2 linked regions of the Lepisosteus oculatus genome follow. Each later gene encodes a partner of the first gene's protein in a complex. Links are inferred from orthologs where the notes say so. Each region holds a gene or a part of one and is shown in the gene's direction. Other genes may lie near its edges.

Region 1 (10,910 bases):
AGCGTTTGCAGACTCCACAGGCTCTGAATAGCTGCAGCGGTTGCATACAAAAACAGCTAGGTGAATGTATATTCAAAGAACTTGAATCAGATGCCCAGTTACATCTTCTGGACAAGGTTCATTAACTACCGTGAATTTGCCGTGTATATCTTTGTGTGTTTGGGGCACAGAAGAGTGATCTCTTCGGAGATCAGCCCTGATCAATATATACTGATCAATCATTTTTTAAAACTAATCTGACAGAGTGTGTTTTATGTAAATGTAATGTGAACAAAGGCCCGCGAAATGAGCACCTTTTAATAACGTGGAAGTTTGTATAAAGGATTGCATGTACAGTACGTTAACCGGCAGAACGAAAAGGTCTATACTTCTTAGAGAAATGTCCTGTACAAAAGCGTTTTATTTTACTATAGTATTCCTGCAGAAGTGGGCAATAATGCGTTCCTTTATCCCTTTAGTACAAGTTGATAAATGTACAGGATCTTCTCAGGTTTTATATGTATTTTTGTTTATGATTTTTACAGGATTCATAAAAGATAAAACCATCACTTTTACAGGATTTCTACACTGTAGGTTTGATCAGTAACTTGTAGGACCTCTAAAGGATTTTGAAAGATTTCAGTAAATATCCTTTTAAAGGATTTCTGTGGGATTTTACAACTGCTTAATTTTGCCAGGAGAGACACGTCTTAAAATAATCGTTTCTCAGAGCTATTTCAAAACATGGAGATATATGAAAACAATAAATGAAGAGGGATCAAAGAATATGATATAAACTTTTGATTAACACTGAATATTTTTTATTTATTTTTGCAATTATATTTCGGAATGAGTATCGACATCAGTGTACTTCAACTCCTTCTGAAACAGAGGTGTGCTGTCTTCATGTCTTCCATTGTATTCTGTTTCATCATTTGGTTTCTACAAAACTTACCTTTACCATATTTATAAATGTTAACATAAGTTTATGAATACAGTACCTGAAAAGCAAAACATGATAGGCTGTTAGACCACTAAAGTAAATGAACTATATATTAAACATGTTTAATTTTCAAACTGTTTAACTGTTTTTCATTTTGTGTCTAAAATCCTCTCTCATGCAGGCATCATAAACTGAATAAAGTTTTATTCTGATAAAAAGAAAAGCTTATAAAAACATGACCAACAAGAGACGAAGAGTTTTGAGTATAATTTTCAGTTTGGGGGGGATGATAAAACTGGTTCTGCTCTAGTTCCTTTGTTGAATTTACAAGCTTGCCGAGTCAGACAATGGGCTGCTAAAGACATCCCTTCCAAAAATTTTGCTGTCACAGGACATCCCTATTCACCCACACTCAACTAATACCCTAAAGTGCCCAGGATTTGTGCCTGTTAAATAAAATACGTAATAAATGAACATCAGTTTAATTTCTGACAGCAATCTTGTAGGATGTATTTCTCTGGGTTCTGTCCCTGCAGGACTCTTAGCAGTAATCTGAGTGATTACAAATGTGCACGCAGGAATGCTGCAGTATTTCATTTTCTATCGTGCACCTGTTTTAAAAAGCCTGCTGTGCACGTTCAGAATGCCTGTACATTATGCAGGAAAACTACACAAAACCCACAGGAATTGTGCAGAGCGTAGCTGTACGTTATTGCGCAGACACAGCCCACAGCCCACAGATAAAGACCACTGTTTAGCACTGAGATATTACAGGGTGACAAAAGTATTACTAGAGCAATAACAGTACATATCAAAATTCATATTGGTACTAAAAATAGTGATTTATCAATAATTAATGACAAGGCTTCTAAATCACTATCATAAAACTCTCCACTTAAAATGTCTCAAATCAACTGAAACAACAAACTAAAAAACTTTATTTTATTTACATTTATTTAAAAAAAACATTTAACTGGAAAAACAGACTTGCTTTTTTAGAACATCATGTTATGAATACTGTACAAAGACTTTATGCTTAAAATACAATGTATTGTATTTCTCTTACTTCATGTTATTTATACGCACATTTCACTTTCTCAGTCACATAATTGAAACCGCACAGGAAACATAAACACAGATGCAGACAGGAAAATCTGGGCTTTAATAGTCGGGAGTAACACTTTGTAGATTAACTGTTTCTCAAAAGAGATTAGATATATGTCATCTTTCAAGCTTCACTTTAAGGTTGTAGTCACCTAGCCAACCTTTCAGTACAGTGTCAAAATTGTTTAAAAACCATTACATGCCAACAGAATATTTAACATTTCATACTTGATGCATTTCTTAAGCTCTGCTACATTAGACTCTTATGGCCATGATTCTTTTGCAGGGTGGGAAGCATACTTTACAAAAATAACTAAATAAACTATGTAGCTTTTGTCTTTGAAAAAATGTCTTTGTGCATTACCCTTTTTCAGTGCTTCTGAATCCACTGAAAGTTTATCAGAGGCTGTTCCAACAATATTAAGAAGTTACTGCTATCTTGATATATTTTAAAATTTGAAGTAAGAACTGCACACATTGAGAGACTTTCAAAATAAGGATTCAACAAAGTGAAATGGCATCAAATCACACTTTTAAATGGCTTGTGATTGTGAGTCTTAGCGTTTTGGAATACAGCTGAACATACCCACTTTAAGAGAAAGATTATTACTGATGAGTTGGTAATACATCTTGAATATTTATAGATCTTGAGTCATTTGCTTGTGTGAACAGAAAAGCTGCCACAGCCACAACCCAAACCAAACGGAAGTGGTATGTTTGAACTACTTATTAAGGCACTATTTGCAAATTCTTACAGTTTTGTATATATGGGACCACAAGGTGGTGTTGTTACCCATAGAAACTGTTTCACAAAGATCTATGACCTACGCACACCCTTTCCAGTACAGTCATCTGTTTTATAGGTACATTGGCTATGAGGTGAGCAGTGTTCTTCAGTGTTCTCCTGGCACACAGTTCTCTATTGTCAATATTTTACACATATTTGGTTAGCAAAGGATTATGAGAATATACAGTGAATGGGTGTCTTGCTTACATGTAGTTGTTACATTACGGACATCCATGTAATGTCCAACATCGATCCACTTTTAACCACTCTATCGAATACAGGGTAAGGGGTGCCAGAGCCTATCCTGGCAAGCATTGGGCGTAATGCAGGATACACCCTAAATCTGATACCAGTCTGTCACAAGAAATACATAGTCACAATCACGCACACACTCACTCCTGGACAAATTTTCCCTGAAGCCAATTAACCTTCCAGTATGTCTACTGTGTTATATACAGTTGATCTTTCTTAACCTTCATAGTGACAGCAGTAAGACACAATATTACCTCTGTGAGATTAGAAGTTAGCATTAGTAGTTTGTAAAGCGCAGCAATGTGCATTGATATTTTATTCTTCATGTTTCATAAAACATTAATGAATAGATTAATGCTGATCATAAAGCCTTTTGTTGTTATCTGTGGGTTGTCGTCTAACGGGGCCTACATGTGGTGGCTCTGTGGCTAAGGAGCGGCCGGCAGAGGAATCCTACTCTGTAGGGCCTCTGAGCAAGGCCCTTAACCGCAGCTGTTCCAGGGGTGCTGTATAAATGGCTGACCCTGCACTCTGACCCCAAGCTTCTCTTCCAGTCTGTGTGGCTTTGTGTCTCATAGAGAACAAGCTGGGGTATGCGAAAAGACAATTTCCTAATACAAGAAATTGCATATGGCCAATAAATTGATTTTAAACAGTTCGTTTGAATACAAGAACTGAGACATCCAGTGTTTCCACATTATACTGCTGCGCAGAAAATGTGTGACCATCATCCAATCCTAGGAAGCCTAGTATGAATTGTGGCAACCATAGCTTACGCCCAGAAGCATACTGCAAGGTGGACTACGTCCTGGATGGGACAACAGTCCATTGCAGTTCTCACACACACGCAGGGACAATTTAAAGACAACAGTTATCCTGACAAGCACATCATTGGGAGGTGGAAAGGAAGCGGAACACTCAAAGAAAAACCAATGTGGACAAGGTGAGAGCATGCAGACTCCACATAGATGGCACCCTGTGCTAAAATCAAACCTAGGGCCCAGGAGCTGGATTGTAACCAATGACAATATAATGAAACATTAGAATTTCTATACCAACTAAAGAATATTAAGCAAAAGACACCCACTAGTGTAAAAAAAAAGTGTAAAAAACACATTAGTTTAAGAAACAGTGATTACACTCTATAATGCAGCTCTAATTTCCAGTTATTGTAACAATGCATGTTTTTTCAGGAACATTTTAGCACGCTTTTAAAACCAACTATTTTTTATATACAGTACAATACATATGTACGTAATAAATACGTTTGACTGCAAAAAGGTAATTATGTTTTTGAGAAGGATTTAAAAAGTACAGTACGATTTTTGATTCTTGGTGTTCAATATCCTTTTGCATTTTTTACATTCAAGTTCGAATATGATACATGCATATCACTGATGATACAGGGGCTGCACATTGGTGGTGGTGGTGGAGGGGAGTCCCCATTACCTGTAAACCGCTTTGAGTGGAGAGTCCAGAAAATATAAGGGCTATATAAGTATGAGCAATTATTATTATTATTATTATTATTTTATTATTATTATATCTATGCGCACACTTTATAGTGGGGCATTAGGGCAATGCATTGTAATTCTGATGTGAGTATAATTTAAAATACTTAAGTACAAAACATCTCTAAAATATCTAACGGAGTAATGCGATGCGTTTGAGGTTGGACAAGAAACATACTCCGGCTTTCGGTTCTATTGCACAGCGCCACACATAGTTTTAATCTCGTAATGTCCAAAAAAATTAACCATTAATAAATTTTGCCGTGGGGGGTGGGGAGAAATTAAAAATAATTTATCATTGCAGTCACTTGCTTGTCCTATAAATGTTATTTTGATCCCATCTAAATTTTAATTTGCATAACATTTACAGTACCGTTACGGGAAAACAAAAGCGAAGACTACAAACATTTTTGAATTAGTCTGTGATGAATGGAGAGAAAATGTAAAAGCGCTTAAGGCGATTTTTCCTTTTTTATAACATTTAGATTACAAAATGTTTGTTGTTAGTAATAGGTTAGTTACATTAGTACTTTTTCATCAGAAATAAATTTAATTCGGTTGGCGAATTAGCTCACTGCTACAATCCTTAACCGGAATACCTCTGACGTCACTCGGGTCCTCCAGCGGACCTCCTGTGTTGTTCAAATGCACTGAATCATGGGAGGAGAACGGAATGATGGGATCGAGTGTCAAATTGTACCGTTCTAGTTGCTGAACATGGCTGATTTAGGAGAGAGAGGCCAGGTGCAACGGAATGATAGTACCCCAGCGTTGCAAGGTAAGGTCCTGGAAATTGTTCGATCGCCATAAGAACAGTGAGCCGGTTTCTCAGCCTGTAACAATAGCTTTGTTTTGATCCAGATGGAGTTTGTTTTTAGCTAGGGCGATAGAAGATTGGCCTGTGTGTATGCCGATATATGGATGGTCAGGTCTGCACTGTTGTTACACCACACTCTTAACTGTACGTTTTGTCATGTACAGAATTTTCTTACATTAGAAACTGAGGATATAGATCTGCTGCTGCAGTGTTGCTACTATTAGTTAGTGGAGTGCAACATTTTTGTTAATTCAGTTGTACGTTTATAGTAAAATACATGCAGGAGCCGAAGCGTGTGTCACGTTTCATGTGCATTGCATCAGATACAGAAATTTCCATGTCTGGCAGGCATTTAGGTACATGTATAAAGAGAATCCCCTACCAGAAAAGTGAGGTAATTAAATTACCGTTTAGAAGACTTGAAAGTTTCTGTATTCAAGGCATCTGAGATATCTTGAGGAGCCCTGATTTGTCTTGCTTGACCTCCCTGTTTAGAATTATTTGAGTAAAAACCACCACTTTTTCAACTGTCTTGATGTTTCAGTATTCAAGTATGGACCCTTTGTCTTGTATCAGAGCATTTTTATTAGTGGTTGTGTGCCTATAAAATACTCCCTATTTTATTGCCTATAAAAAGAAAGTTTAGGTTTAAGTGATATCTCCGAAGACTGTATGAAGAGGAAGTTATGTTTTTTTTTTCCAAAACAAAGAGGAGTGAGATTTGGAGTAATGGTGTGTTTTAACAGTCGGCAGTAGCCCACTGTGACTGGGGTTTCCCAGGTGGAGGTGCTTGATTGGCTGAGTGCTGCTGCTTGTGAAATCCCAGTCACAGTGGGCTAGTGCAGTGTTTTACAATCCTGATCCTGGAAAAAACCTCTGGTGTCTAATTTTGTCTTCAGGCAAGTTCTAAATCACAGGCTAATTGAGTTCAGTTTTCTACTGGGTTGTTTTTCTGCCTCTTCAAGGTTGAAAAAAAAATACACAGATTGTCTGATAGAGTATCATTCCTACTTGTGTCTGTTTATCATCAATTGGTGAACTATAAGAGCTGTATAGGCAGCTTTTATGTGGTCATTTTGAGTAGAGTCTGCATAAGGTTCTCTATGCTGTAGCTGTTAGAAATAGTTTGTCATTCAGGACTGACTGAAGAAGCAAGTTAAATAAAATTCCTAACAATCAAGTAGATCAATTACATAACAAATTTAGTGATGTAGAGCTCAGCTGGAATTAGGATCCGCACCGAAAGTTTGCCTTCAGAACTACCATTAAGAACCATTGGGCAAGTGACACAACCCAGGCTCAAATTATGACAATAAGACCAAAGGGCTCGACATGCAAATGTCTCTACTGGAGAGACTCCCGTTGTTTTCTTGCCATGAGGGGCAATTAACCCTCTATAGCAGCTGTGCTATGAACCATATTTTTTGTGGATGGGACAAGTGATGCATCATGAATACTAAGGTGATGCTGTCTATTCACAATCCTTTACAGTATTCTGCCACCTTAAAGCATTGTGAATTCACATCTACAGTTGATATAAAGATCTTGTGTTAAAAGTGCTGCTGTTATTAATTTTCTTCTTTTTTTTTACAGATGAAAGTGACCCAAAGAAAAAAGATTTATTAATCTGCAAAGTAAGTATGTTAGTGACATAATTTTCCATACCTTTTGATTTCTGAAAATAATAACCATTTCATTGCAGCATGTGGCTGGTATTTGGTTAGCGACAACTGCTGCAGAAATGATATCAATGAAGTTCTACAGAATGATAAGACTTCTATGAAACAGTTTCAATAACAGTTGTGGAATGGAGAAGGGGAACCAGTTTGTATTGTGTATTCTTCTTGTTAGCTCAGCATTCTAAGGGCTTTTTCCTGAGATATTTTAGTGAATCAGCAGCAGCAGTCCCGCCTGGCAAGCTCCGTTCACGACAGAACTGAATGTCTGCTCTTTTACAATCGGTTTCACCTGCTACTCTCAGGCTGAGGGCAAGGAGCTGTCCAAGGAGGAGAAGCAACGGCTGCGAAAAGAGAAGAAGCAGCAGAAGAAAAACAAGAAGGAGGACAAGGGTTCTGCAGACAATGAGAAAGAGAAGAAAGCAGTTGTTCCTGCCATTGGACAGCAGACCCAGACACAGAAAGGTAGGGGCTGCGAGTGCACTTAACATTGACAGAAGAGTAGGGTTTCCACCATCCTATTAGGGACATGCAGGGGTTCAGAACTTTTCATTCTAAAAGAGGACTTTGACTTGCTGCCATTTTAATCATTGCAGTGTTCCTGTACCACCAGAACCTTATTTGTTACATAACAATTCATGTAATTTATAGGCCATTAACAAACCTCTTCCTGCCTTCTCTCAAATCTGGGGTAATACCCCCGGAATGAAAAGTTGCTAATTTAGCGCCTACGTGTAAAAACAGTGATAAAATTGAAGCTAGTAATTATAGACCGATAATCTAGTCTTACTTCTTTTACATGGAATATTAGGGCTACGCTAAAGGATCACCTGGACAGTCAGCATAGATTAGAGGTCTTTGAATGTCCAACAGCGGCAATGAATACAGACAGAGCATACAATATTTCTAATTAGGTTTTTAAAGTCTATCATAAGATTAATTCTTAGATTGTAGATGACAAGGATTCAAGGTAATAAATATACTTGGATTAAGAATTAGTTAATGAACAGGAAACTGAGGGGAAACATAAGAGGAAATGTTCTGACTGGGGTGATGTATTTTGTGGAGAACCACTGGGATTTGGTCAACACTTAGTGCTAATTGATATCAATGATCTAGATTCTGGCTAACAAATTCATCAAATTTGCATGTAATTCCAAAGTAAGATGATGAGTAAACCCTGTAGAAGCTGCAAAAGACATTCAGAAATGCTTATGTCGTGTCCCAATTCTCGTACGGAGCTCTAAGCACTTCCTCCAAGTCCGCACTTCTGTGACGTAGTGCACGTGTGGACTTCAAGTGCGCGAGTATTTGAGGGGCACCCTCGCGTGGCGGTACTCACTGGTTACACGGCTCAGGGTCAAAATACTGTTTTCACAGTGCTTTTTATCTTTGAGGGATGGGTGGAAGTTGGTGAATTGATTCAGAAAGTACTCTAATTGGTCACTGGAGCATGTGGCAGCACCGACGCAGTCATCGATGTATCACCTGTAGAGGTCAGGGACAAAGCCAATGTAGGCAAGTGAAGACGCATTCTTTTACCCAGTCGACAGCAATATTTAAATAGCTGGGTCCCTTCCTGCTGATAAAAAAAGTTATTGAATGAGAAAGCAATCAGTGTGAGGACCAATTCCCCAAGACGTACAAGAGTGTGGGTGGGTAGATCAGGCACTGTGTGTTTGTCTAGCATCAACGTTTTAAAAAAAAAAATGTATTTAAAATGAACCAAGTTTACTTAACTATTGGAATGTCAACCAAATCCAGAATAAAATATCATGTTCTGTTTCTACTTCTTACTTCATGACTGAACAATCCAATTAAAATTCTGTGCGTTTAGGCTGTGATATTGTTTTTTATTCTTACTTTTTTTGTCAAATACATTGGAGTGGCTTTTGTGAAAGTAGCCCATTGTTTGACGACACAGCTGTGAACCCCTGACCAGTGTTTGCTTTTTGAACCAGCGGTGGATATTGCTTTGTTTTTAAGCCCCCCAGTTAGGCTCGGTGTCTGAGGCCCCAGCAGGAGTAGAGAAGTCTGCCCCAGCCAAGAGCAAAGCAGAGCTGCGCGCAGAGAGAAGAGCCCGGCAGGAAGCGGACCGAGCTGCCAAAACAGGCAAAAAAGACCCCGGTCAGCCCCCTTCTACTGCCAAGCCTAAGGCTCTTCCCAGTGAACCACAGCCAGGTACAGCTCTGTTAAAAGCCTAGATTTGCTGCTCTGTTTAGGAGTGTAAACACAGTGTTCTTGTGAAAAGCGAGTTTGTGCTGATCATGTATCCAATTGTTTTTTTTTATGAAAACATATCAGGGCGTATATATTAATGTGTATTTGTCTGTTTACCCACATGTGTCTTATGTAGTTATATATTAAGTACTAAAAGTAGCTGTTTCTTTACATAATAGTATGTCTGACTCGCATACCTTTCATAAATGGAGTGATCTCTTAAAAATTAATCAATTTCTTGTTGAGGTAAAGAAGATTATAGAAACATTGTCTCTGTGGTATTACTGTACAGCTGGGGCTGTGGGATGAATTGGTTTGGCATTGGATGAATGATATCAACAGTCTTTTGATTAGAGTTTGGAAGTCCTACTGCAAACTTTGGTTTTCCCTCTCCTTCACTGTAGTTGTGAAGCGGCTTCCAGAGCACATTCAAGTGGATGATCCTGCAGTGCTGAAGAAGCTGGCCAAGAAATTGGAAAGGCAACAGGTGAAAAAGTGGGGAAAAATACTGCAATGTCTGTTTTCAGCTGGGTGCGTGAGGCATCGGGAAGACTGCTGTTATGCAGCGTGATAGTACCTGAGTTCTGGGGCTTACCTAAGTCCTGGGTTAAAGAAACAAATAAAAAATCTCCAGTTACTCAAATAATTGCATCCTAGTTTCATCTTCTAGTAGTTAGGAGCATCTAGCCAATTTCAGATTAGACTGGGTTTGCTACATACCCAAGCTACATTATGCTACATGGACTATAAATGTTAGCATAATAAGATATTTTAACAGGATGAAATAGAAGTACTTAAGAAATGATAGATGATGTATTTGTACTGAAGGTTCAGCTGATGTGCTCCTGAAGAATGCAGAAATTCCAGGCACTTTTGGCTTAAACGCAACAAGAAATATTACTCCTGGAAAAAAATCAGTATAGTATGTTCCATTATAGATAAATAGATAGATAATACTTTATTAATCCTGTAGGGAAATTGATGAAGTATTATCATGTAGTGTAGACTGTGAATGCCTTTTTCACTTCACTTACAAACCTGGTATAAGGCTTCTCCAGGTTACACCGACCTTGCCTAATGAACTATGGGTGATGAAGATTTACAAAAAATCTTAAACTTTCTGTACAACTTTGTAGAGCTCGTTTAAAAAACTAGGTGAAGGGTAAACAATAATAGTATGAGCTAGATCTTTTAAAAATCAGTAGTTAATAGAGCCTCATGCTGTTTGAATCTTGCTTTTACCCTTGAAAAGCATAATACTGCTTTGTCAGCAGTACTTGTGCTGTATCATTTCCCATGCTTTTCATTCAGTATTTTTTATGTAGTTTAGGAAGTCGTGTTGGGAAATCTAGTTTTGTATACTTCCCTGTAAATTTATTTAGGTACTGAGATCTGCAAGTGAGGGTGTTTTGACCAAGCCATATCATCCTGCAACTCACAATTGGCAACCTGCTGAGGCTAAGCGGGTGTGAGCCTGGTCAATACCTGGATGGGAGACCTCCTGGGAAAAACTAAGGTTGCTGCTGGAAGAGCTATTTAACAACATCACTTTATTAACCCTTTACAATATCTTGCATTAGGAATTTGTCTTTTTGCATACCCCAGCTTGCTCTCCATGAGA
Region 2 (10,749 bases), on another chromosome or scaffold:
GACTGTGTTTGGAGTTTCTGACACTGCTTTCAAATGGCTCAAATCTTACCTCACTGATCGCTGTCACTTTGTCTTTCTCAATGGGTACAGGTCTGAAATTGGTCTTGTTAAGTCTGGTGTTCCAGACTGACACTGATTTGGCTGTCTCTATTTTATCTAATTTCACCTCTGACATAAAAATTTGAAAGACTCAAAACTTTCTTCATCTTAACTGCGACAAGACCGAAGTCATGCTTATTGGCACCCTCCATCAGCTTCGTAAAGCCAGTCCTGTAACCCTATCTGTAGATGGTTCTGTACTTGAGCTTGAATCAAAATTGAAAAACCTTGGGGTTATATTAGATTCTGGCTTAACATTCGACCCACATGTGCAGCATACTGTCAAAACATCTTTTTTTCACCTCAGAAATTTCGCTAGACTACGCCCTATGCTATCACTAACTGTGGCTGAAAAGCTGATCAACACATTTGTGTTCTCTTGAATTGACTACTGTAATGCTCTATTCGCTGGGGTATCTTAATCTACTCTGAACAAACAGCAGTATGTCCAATATTCAGCAGCCAGAATCCTAACCAGGTCTAGTGCAAGTGTTCACATTACTCCTATCCTGGAATCCTTGCACTGGCTTCTGGTCAAATTCCATGTAGACTTTAAAATCCTCATGCTCACCTATAAGGCTCTGCATGGCTTGGCACCTCAGTACCTGTCTGAACTATTATCGCCCTACTCTCCACCTCGCAACCTTCGCTCATCTAATTCTTCTCTCCTTACTGTCCCCCAAGCCCTTCTACATTGTATGGGTGACAGGGGCTTGTCCTGTTATGCCCCAAGCTCTGGAACTCTCTCCCAAAGGATATCAGAGAGTCACCTTCTCTAAACTCCTTCAAAATCCAGACTCGAAACCCTCTTCTTCAGAAATGCCTTTACTTAACTGGTTTCATTCTTCACCCCTCTGCTTTTCTTAGTACCACCATCCACAGTCTCCTCTTTATATTGTAATTGTGTATTCTTCTTATTTATTGTTGTTGTCATCCTGTAAAGCTCTTTGAGAAGCCACCTTTAAAGGCGCTTATATAAAATAAGGTTTTATTATTATTATTATTATTATTATTATTATTATTATTATTATTATTATTAAATACTTCTGATCTCAACTCTTATTTTGTCAGTAATGTTAATTATATACAAATTTTGCTTCAGGAAAAACAATATGTCTACTGATGTTACAGAGTGTTATGAACGAGTAAACTGCCAACCTATTCTTAACAAAATGTAGTACATTTAAGAAGGTTTTAAAGAAAACATTACAATGAATTATATCTGTAAAAATAGCTTTAAATCTCTCTGCAAAACTTTAACTTTATTAAGACAACTGTGAAAGCACAAAAGCTGTTACAGTATGTTGGAATCTGGAGTTGGCTGGATTGTGCTGTGACAAGACATTGAGTGCTGGCTGGTTGTCACTGGGGCTGAAAGGTATTGTGCACAGAAAACTCCTTTGACTGTTATGGGTAAGATTTTCATAGCTCAGCCTGGTATTTAACACATTCCTGCCCAGTGACGACTGTACAGATTATATTGCATGGAGCCCAAGAGATCGCTGACAACAGAAAACGCATATATTAAGGGTTGTCCTGATCTTGGCAACGTCCCTGTGTGACACATTTTCTCCACTTATTGATGATAGTCTTCACAGTGCTCCATGGTACATCCAATGCCTTTGATTGTCAGCTCCTTGTGGACCATGGCTATCCCAGGAGGATGCAACCATGAAAGTTTCAAGGAAATCCTACAGGAAATTCTGATTTTTATTTGGGGTTAATCAGAATCACTTTCATTGATGGCATGTGTATGCTACTTACCTTTGGACATGATTTTGAATGTGATTGGTTAACTCTGAACAGCTACAGCACCCACTATAAAATGGTGTGCACACTCATGGAACCAGGGTGTTGTAGGTTTTTTTAATTTCAATTATTTTTCCTAATAATTATCTATTTGTTTTTCTCTTGAATTTTGTTGGTTTCAAGGTCACATTAAATATGGAAAATTCTCTGACATGATTTATCTTGATTTCTGGCTTTACACCACAAAAACCTGTAATTTCAATAAGGGTGCGTAGACTTTTTATATCCACTGTATATGGGTACCTTAGGGTGATTTTTTTAGGGTGACTATAACAACAAAGACCTGTCACTCACTTATTCTGGAAACATACAGCACTGTCAAAAATGACCATGGTTAGATTACTCATGTAGAGGTAGAGTCCCCATGACTCTTTGGCTTAGGACACAATGTGGTGCTGCAGTCTGGACAGTAATGTTCAGGAAATGTGGATTCTGCCTGTTGCATTGAGATTCGCAATGGCCTTTTGTCAAAGTACAGCAGTATTTTTTCTAGGGTATTCTAGTTCACATTACCTAGTAAGTAACTGAAAAACAAAGTAAAATAGAGCATATTTCAACCATGGCCTAGCTCAACACCACACAGGACACAACACATCATCCGTCCTTCGGATGAGATGTAAAACCGAGGTCCTGACTCTCTGTGGTCATTAAAAATCCCAGGGCGTTTCTCGAAAAGAGTAGGGGTGTAACCCCGGCATCCTGGCCAAATTTTCCCATTGGCCTTTACCAATCATGGCCTCCTAATAATCCCCATCTATGAATTGGCTACATTACTCTGCTCTCCTCCCCACTGATACCTGATGTGTGGTGAGCGTTCTGGCGCACTATGGCTGCCGTGGCATCATCGAGGTGGATGCTGCACATTGGTGGTGGTGGAGGGGAGTCCCCATTACCTGTAAAGCACTTTGAGTGGAGTGTCCAGAAAAGCGCTATATAAGTGTAAGCAATTATTATTATTATTATTATTATTATTATTATTAACACTAAAGGCCAAAATCAAATTGGTGCTTAAAAAAGTCCATGTCTATGTAAATGTGGCCTAAGTTGTTTAAAGAAGATATTAAGAAAAAAGGAGCACTCTAGAGAGAGCTCTACAGTGTAAAATACCAAAATTAAAATGGAAAAAGAGCATACTGAGCCACATCTGAAAAATTGTATTACTATTGCTTAGAAGTAGACTTAAAAGAATACTGTACTTCACTAGACACAAATAATTATAGTAGAGCATTTTTTCCTGTACTGCAGCAGTGAAAGAATAATTTATAATAGCTTAAGAAATAACAGTGGATTAATAGAAGATGATAATGAAATAGTAACCATGCTAAATGAATATTTCATGCAAGCTTTTACAGTTAAAGATTTCAATAACACATCCACTGCTAAACAAAACATTAGTTTTAGGGTAATTTTAACATGTCTGAAACTGAGGTTCAACAGGGGTTAAGATTGCTCAAAACCAAAAAATTGACTAGGCCTCACCATATTGAATCCATAGCATCCTGTTTTCTGTTTTAATGTCCTCATCAAGACAATATGGTGAATCAAATAAAAAGAAACCGAATGCTTCAGTATATAGAAGTGTTTAACTTAACTCCAGGGAAGTTATGCTTATGCTTTACAATGTACAAGTAAAAACTCACTTTATAATACTATGTTCAGTTCTGGCCACAATACCAAACAATGATATTGTACATCTATACAAATGTAAAAATAGTTCAATGGAGAAACAATAATTTTTCAAAGGCTCAAGGTTAAATCTTTTCAGTCTAGGACAAAGGAAAATGAGAGGAGAATTATTCAATTTTAGAAGATCCTAATAGGTATAAATAAGGTTTTCTTGTTAGGTTTCTTCTCATCAGCATCCCTCTCTTATGTTTTTATTAAGACTACTAGACACAAAGCGTCTCTGTAACTGTATTACTGGAATGCTTTCATCCAGACTGCCCAGCATTGCTAAATTATCTACAGAAAGTAAAGATTCTGCTGCCTTGGTAGCAAATAAAAGGCCTGCACTATAAAGAGTTAAACTTTTCTAACGACGCAAATGATATGTGTGTTTCTGTGGAAAAAAACATTCATCAACCACTAAGACAAAAAAAAAACCTTTAAAATATCACACACATGCAGACGTTACAGTGCTTGTTCTAAAACCATCCTGAGCTGGGAAAATATTAGTTTTGTATTGACTGAGATAAATTCCAGACATCACACAGAGAGAGCAGAGCTCTGTTGAAAAAATTAGCTGTTCTTTCTCACATGATCTAGGGCCTGTCGCACAATAATCCTTCCTCATTTAGAACAACTTTTTGAGTCACGTTACCCTACACACAGATATACTACCTATACACTCGCTTCACATTTTTGTAAATATGTATTTTTAAATATATGTCAAATTAATGTAACATTACTAAAAACTTCAAAGAATATTAAATATGTCATTGAGGACATATCACACCATAATCATCTATCTTTAAAAACAAAACTTAAAAATATATAAGTAAAGCTTTTTACACACTCGATTCAAAAAAGGCAGTTGCGTCCTGTCAGGAACAATTTGTTCCAACTTTCGGAACAAATTGATTTGACAAATGTACAAATTAAGCTTAATATAACGTCTGGAATGCTTCTGTCGTTGTGCTGTTATATTATTCGTTATGCGTTGCAGAAACGAACTGGATGTTGCAAGAATAATTATACTCACATTCTGGATGGGAAAATTTCGATCCTGTCCTTGCCTGACATGTTGTTGGATGCAAGCGACGCGTCTTTGATTTGCCTAGGTTCAGTATACTTTTATTGCAATAGAATTTATCCTAGGAAAACTGTTCTTTATTAAGACGTCCTTCCTTATAATGATTTCCCTATTCAATAGCTTTCGGGAAAAAGCAAACTGGAAATCTCCCTGGTCAACAGTGTCAGTCAGAGGCGAATCAGCTGGGTAAACGTCATGTGACAGAGGTGGCGAAGGTCAAAGGTAAAACTGGGTACGTCAGAACCAACGACATGTCAGTAAGAACCGAAGGACAGAAGTTGTACCTTTTGAATAGTAGCAAAAATATGAAAGTAAAAAAATATATATGAAAACATTATTTTTATTTAATTTGTTTAATCTTTTTACATAACTTGAATTTATGTAGTAGTATCTACCCCTGACGATCTTTTTGTCTTGAACTGTTATATGTACTTTTGTTTGTATTGTAATTTTTGTTAATCTCTTATGCATAAATAAAAAAAAAACCTTTTGAATAGTATTATTTATTTTAAGTACTTGTCTTGTTTTATTAATTAAATAATTTCTCGAATAATGCCGCAAAAATTGTATTATTAATTTTGCCATGCTTGAAGCTTTTAATGAAACATAAAAACGAAATTTCTAAATTCCTTAGATTTTAAAAAATCGTTTTATGAGGGTTTATGAGCGGTTTTCAAGCTCTGTGTTTTTCGCTCGTTAGCTACAGTTCTCAAACGTAGAAAAGCTCCAGTGGTCTTTCATACTATTGGATGCTAATTTCAATTATTTGCTCGTATAATTCAAAAATATGCTTTTTCTATCGATCATAAATGTGTGAGTAATCGTCTGCATCAGTGTATTCTTTCAACCACTGACAAAAGAAAAACAAATTTTCCTGAGAATTGAAACGGAGAAAAACAAATATATATATATATATTCTATATAACAAATGTGTCTACATCATCGAGACAGTTTTGTTGTATTTTAGGTTTTGGTAACAGATGTACTTTTCTTATTCTCGTGCATAAGAACAGCAACTTTCACCTCCACTAGGTGTCACCGTCACAAAACTTGCGAAGCCGATTCCCTTTTCATAGTTTCCTTTTCCGGGTCAGGGTTTACGTGTTTGTGCGTCCATGCTGAGGAAACTAACTGCGCTTAAGGTTTAGGCCGTTCTCAGCGTTTAACTAGAAAATACATTTTTTTCTGCGTAACTTTGTCGAGAGGAGAAATACTCAAACGTAGGTGAATTATTCAACATTACGGAGTTTGGATCTCTATCAAGAATAAAGGTAGTGTCGCTTTTTAATCCCTTGGTTCAGAAAATGAATGAATTGGGTGGAGGGGGAGAGTAGTCTTGCTACATGTGATGTTACTGTAGAAACTGATACAGATGTGGCTGATAATAAACTAGCTTTTTGGCCAGAGGTTTATTCGGGACAGTCATTCACCATCTAATGTTGTTACGAATCTCAGCGGTCTGGTCACACAACCTGTCTTCGTTAGAGCGTTGTAGTAATTTGCTTTGGGAAAAGTGCCTCAAAATGTTACAAAGATGCAGTTTATGTGCCAGATTTACTCAAGAAGTCATATAAAAAACTAACAGAAGTGCGTAACGATACCATTCTTCTGAGAAGAGTTGCAGAAGTCGCCACATGCCTTCAAAATTCAACTGTATATATACGATATTGTAAAGTGGTCTCAGTGTATTGGGAAATTAAAATGACAGGAACTGAAATTGACCGATTCTTTCACCATTGACTGAAAATTTCAGTTTACGAAAAAGGCAGGAATATGCACAGTCGGTCGTGTTCTGGTGAAGTGATTATCCCAAGTCTCCTTAATTTTTCACGATAGTCTTTCGGGACATGCGATTGAAGCAGTAATGCCCATTATTAAAAAGGTCATCCTAGACTAGTGGTGGCTTTATTCAATACCCCCTCTTATATATTTATATGGCACGCTCTTGTGCCCAAATCATTTGCTCTTCAGACCATTCTTGTATTACCACATGTATTTACCACATGAAAACCTGCCCTATACCACTTCTCATGCGAGATAGTCGTCTTACTCTTTCTGGGAGCTGGCTGATACGCAAAAACAGTTATAAATCGTGTTAAAATTAGTAAAGTTATAAAACACATCAGAAAAAGAAAATATTACATGGTGAGTTTGGCTGTGTGATGTTAGGTTGCTATTATGTGCCAGCAGCCCCATAACAGAACAGAAATTGTGTCATCAAATTAATTAAGTGATAACTTTAGGTAGGCTGAATTGCACAGGCCCAGAAGTGAATTTAGCCAAGCCACCAGAGCCGGTGCCATGGGATTTTAATGACCAAGTAGTTTACACCTAAGTGTAATATCTAATCTAAGGGATACATCTTATACAGCAGAGTGGTCTTGGTCACCATACTGAGGCATCAGTTTTCAAATTCTAATCCACCAACACAACCTGTTTTGTTTGGGAGGTCTCCTATCCTATTACTGATCAGGGCCAACTCTTGATCAGCTTCTGAAATCTCATGAGATCACGCTACAAGATGGTTAGTTAGGAGTCAAGATCTTCACAGTATCTGCAACTGTATTTTATTTATCTTTCTAGATATTAGATCTCATTTTGTGGTTATCTTTCAAGATAGATTTCATTTTGTGGTTAGAGTATTTGTACTTTTTGTTTGGCTGAGTTTTCATCTCCCCTGCAGCTATTTAGCTATTCGTAAAGACATTATCACACGTTTCTGGTATTGGTTGTAAGTGATCTTTTGTTTCAAATTGAATTCTATTTGATGTCCCTGCTGCTTTAATGTGAAACATCACAATGTACAATTAGAGCAACCAAAGCACTTTTGAATGCTTCTATAAGGTCTGCGTATATAGCAATTGAAATCCTTCAGATGTATTGTTTCTGAATAGTTTCTGGAACAATAAGACTTGGACTACTTCACTAAGATTTCATCCAAAACTACTAATAGCTTTATTTTTCTTTTCTTACAGTATACTATAGCAACAGGGTTCATGTAGTATACACATGATTCAGTGCTTTAGAAACTGACTACTATAATCTAAAGAAAATTGATTTTAATTAATTTATTAAATTTCCTTATTTAAATTTGATAATATTTAACACTGTTTTTCATTACAAAGCCAGTCCCATAGAATTACAGTTCTTTTTAGAACACTCAGTTCAATCCTTCACAGGTTTGTGGTATAACAAATATAGAGTGAAGTAAAATGTGTCGCTTTTGCTGCATACTTTTCCAAATTGTATTTCAGATTTAAAGATGAACATAAGGCAGCTTAAACAGAATGCAAGCTTTTATATTGGGATATTTTTGTGCATACATGTTTAAAAAAAATGGTTTTATGGTCAGTCCCTCCTGATTTGTTTTGTCAGCAAAAGTATTGAGACAAATTAACTTTGAGTTAATTACCCCTTACAAGTGATAACTGCTTCAAGTCTGCAACCCAACAACATCACCAGACTTGATATTTTCCTTTGAGATGCTTTGCCAGCTCAGAAGTTTCCACTTCTTCTTCCTGATGAACCCTACTGCCTTGGCTAAGTGTGCAGTATATTTTGGGCCATTGTCTTGTTGCAGGTTGAATTGCCATCCACTGAGTTTTAGAGCATTTTTTGGACATAGACAAGATATTTCCACACACTTCAGAATTCATTCTGCTGTTACCATTAGTTATATCCTTAAGAAAGACCAGTCAGCTAGATCTGGAGGTAGCCTTGTATGCAAAAGCCATGACACTAACTCCAGTATGTTTTACTGATGAGGTGGTGTGCTTAGGATCATGTGCAGTTCCTCTCCTTTTCCCCTCTTTTGTCTTTCCATCACTTTGATAGAGGTTTATGTTCATCTCATCTATCCATGAAACTTTTTTTCCAGAGCTGTTGTGGCTCATCTTTGTACTTCTTTGCAGATTATAACCTGGCCTTTTTGTTCTTAGTGCTGATAAGACTAAAAAAGGCTTAAGAGTTTTGAATCTTGCAGTTTATCTCTTGTAATTCTCCTGTCACAACACAATGAATTGAAATACTTTCACCTCTGCACTCTGGAGATTGTCTGTAATCTCTTTGGCTGTTATTGTAGGGGTTTTCTTTACAGCTCTAATGATTTTTGTATCAATTGTTGTCATCTTCCTTGAAGTACCTGGTATTTGCCAAATGCTTACACCTCTAGTACTTTCTTCCTTTTCAGCACATTCTATAATTGATTTTGTGATGCCCAGTTTCTCTGCAGTGGCTCTAATTGGAATTTTCTTTGCTTTCATTTTCTTACTTGGTTTTTCATCATAGACAACTGTCTAGTCATCATCTTGATTAATGTTTCTAACTCAAGGGGCAGACTGAAAAAGTAAACACCCAAAGACTAGAACCAAGGCTATACATTCACAATTTTTGTGTCTTCACTTGAGCAATTAGAAACATTTGTTCTAATATTTGTGCTCATCTGAAATGGGGGATTTAAACACAACAACTGACATTTTTTTAGTATTGTGTGCAAAAGTGTTCCCAGAAACAAAGACTGGAATTCTGTACTTTACCTTATATTAATCTTTTGATCTGAAATTCATATTTCATTAGTAATTTAAAATCATTCGCATATATGACAAATTTCACTTCACTGTCCCAGTAATTATGCTTTTCACTGTATGGCTGAAATACGTATGCTGTTGAGCAAAGGCTTGCGATTTTGTGCTGACCTACATCAGTGTATAAAGGTACAAGTTATCTAGTTTGAAAGTCTATGCACTAGAGCTGTCTTTCCCTGCCTTTCCTGTGTGTGTGTCATGCCATGGGATGTGCCTTTTCTGTTGCCAGCATGCCGGGGCTCAGCTGTAGATTTTACCAGCACAAGTTCCCGGAAGTGGAGGATGTGGTAATGGTGAACGTACGCTCCATCGCAGAGATGGGTGCCTATGTCAGCCTGCTGGAGTACAACAATATCGAGGGTATGATCCTGCTGAGCGAGCTCTCTCGGAGACGAATACGCTCCATAAACAAACTCATCCGCATCGGCCGCAACGAGTGCGTGGTGGTCATCAGGGTGGACAAGGAGAAAGGTGAGTAGCACAAGCAAGTGTTGCCTGAGAATCTAGGCAAGAGCTGGCCTGTGAAGCAGTGACCTCTCTCTGCTTGTCCTTGAGGGAATTTTGCCAAATCGATCAATTCAGTAGAGAGCCATGATGTTACAAAGGCAGTAAATTATAGTCCAGTTTCTTCCCATGTGTGGTTGATTTGAATCTGTGTTTTGAATGGTTTCTTTTCACCTGGACTCTAACCAGCTTCGTGGAACTAATATGACTGATTAGGCCTTTTTAATTTTTAAATCATAAAAAGTTAGTTAATTAGTACAGGTATAACAACATCTCTAAATTACAAGTTTTATGGCTGCAAACGATTAAAACATCTTAATTTGGTTATTATATACGTTTGGGTCAGTGATTAATTATGTGTTCTGCTGAAACAAAAACTACCTGACAGTGGAGTTACAGCCAGCTGGACTGGGAACCCTAGTTCTAAACCCTGATTTTCAGGATTTTTGGTTCACCCATGTTCTGGAGACATTTTTAGCTTCATGGCCTTCATTTTGAGTAGTGTGGTAGATGTCTCAAATGTTTTACTTTTCCAGTGCAACCAATAAAGCTGCATGATGAAGTTTTTATGGGAGAGTTGTAATGACTAAGGTAATAGTTAATATTGAAAAACAATGAAAAGATTTTGGGGGGAGAAACGGTTTAACAGAGTAAAAGGTTGAAAGGTCATTCCATCTTGCGCTTCAATCACATAATTGAACAAATCGGATTTGTGAGCAAAGAAGTCAAATCCAATGTCTTTTCCAGGTCAGGTTTTATAAATCAGATGCAAATTGAGAGGTGCCTCAGAAACCTACAGGAACCCAACCTTTGTGGTTGCCTGCCCCTCTTCTGAAGCAGTGGCAAGTGATTGTTAGAAAGCTACTGGGAGGTAAACTTGTAACTGGCCCAGAATTTGCAAGAATTTCCTTATCTGTCACCGCACTGTCTGTTCTTAAGTTCAGAACAGAACCATATATTTCCATTCTTCTTTAGAACAGATCGGATGATTTGAGAATGTCA

The links. Proteins that work in one complex are often made in the same cells at the same time.
Region 2: the proteins of eif2b4 (region 1) and eukaryotic translation initiation factor 2 subunit 1 are in contact, whole or in part, in a cryo-EM structure (PDB 6O81), measured with the Homo sapiens proteins. The link is inferred for Lepisosteus oculatus from reciprocal best matches to the Homo sapiens genes EIF2B4 and EIF2S1. Residues at the interface, in NP_001029288.1 of Homo sapiens: Asn245, Glu246, Glu247, Arg250, Thr285, Ser520, Ser521, Asp522; in NP_004085.1 of Homo sapiens: Met30, Tyr33, Met45, Arg55, Arg57, Arg75, Glu79, Lys80, Tyr82.

Annotation. Positions count from the first base shown.
Region 1 is NC_090697.1:17,195,122-17,206,031, reverse strand, and holds the start of eif2b4 (translation initiation factor eIF2B subunit delta), read left to right. Parts: upstream 1-5,232; 5' UTR 5,233-5,293; coding exon 5,294-5,354; intron 5,355-6,986; coding exon 6,987-7,027; intron 7,028-7,374; coding exon 7,375-7,534; intron 7,535-9,055; coding exon 9,056-9,250; intron 9,251-9,693; coding exon 9,694-9,776; intron 9,777-10,910. UniProt on the Homo sapiens protein: Acts as a component of the translation initiation factor 2B (eIF2B) complex, which catalyzes the exchange of GDP for GTP on eukaryotic initiation factor 2 (eIF2) gamma subunit.
Region 2 is NC_090703.1:26,160,564-26,171,312, forward strand, and holds the start of eukaryotic translation initiation factor 2 subunit 1, read left to right. Parts: upstream 1-5,752; 5' UTR 5,753-5,931; intron 5,932-9,472; 5' UTR 9,473-9,473; coding exon 9,474-9,714; intron 9,715-10,749. Other genes in the region: atp6v1d (V-type proton ATPase subunit D), read right to left, coding at 4,610-4,650. UniProt on the Homo sapiens protein: Member of the eIF2 complex that functions in the early steps of protein synthesis by forming a ternary complex with GTP and initiator tRNA. This complex binds to a 40S ribosomal subunit, followed by mRNA binding to form a 43S pre-initiation complex (43S PIC).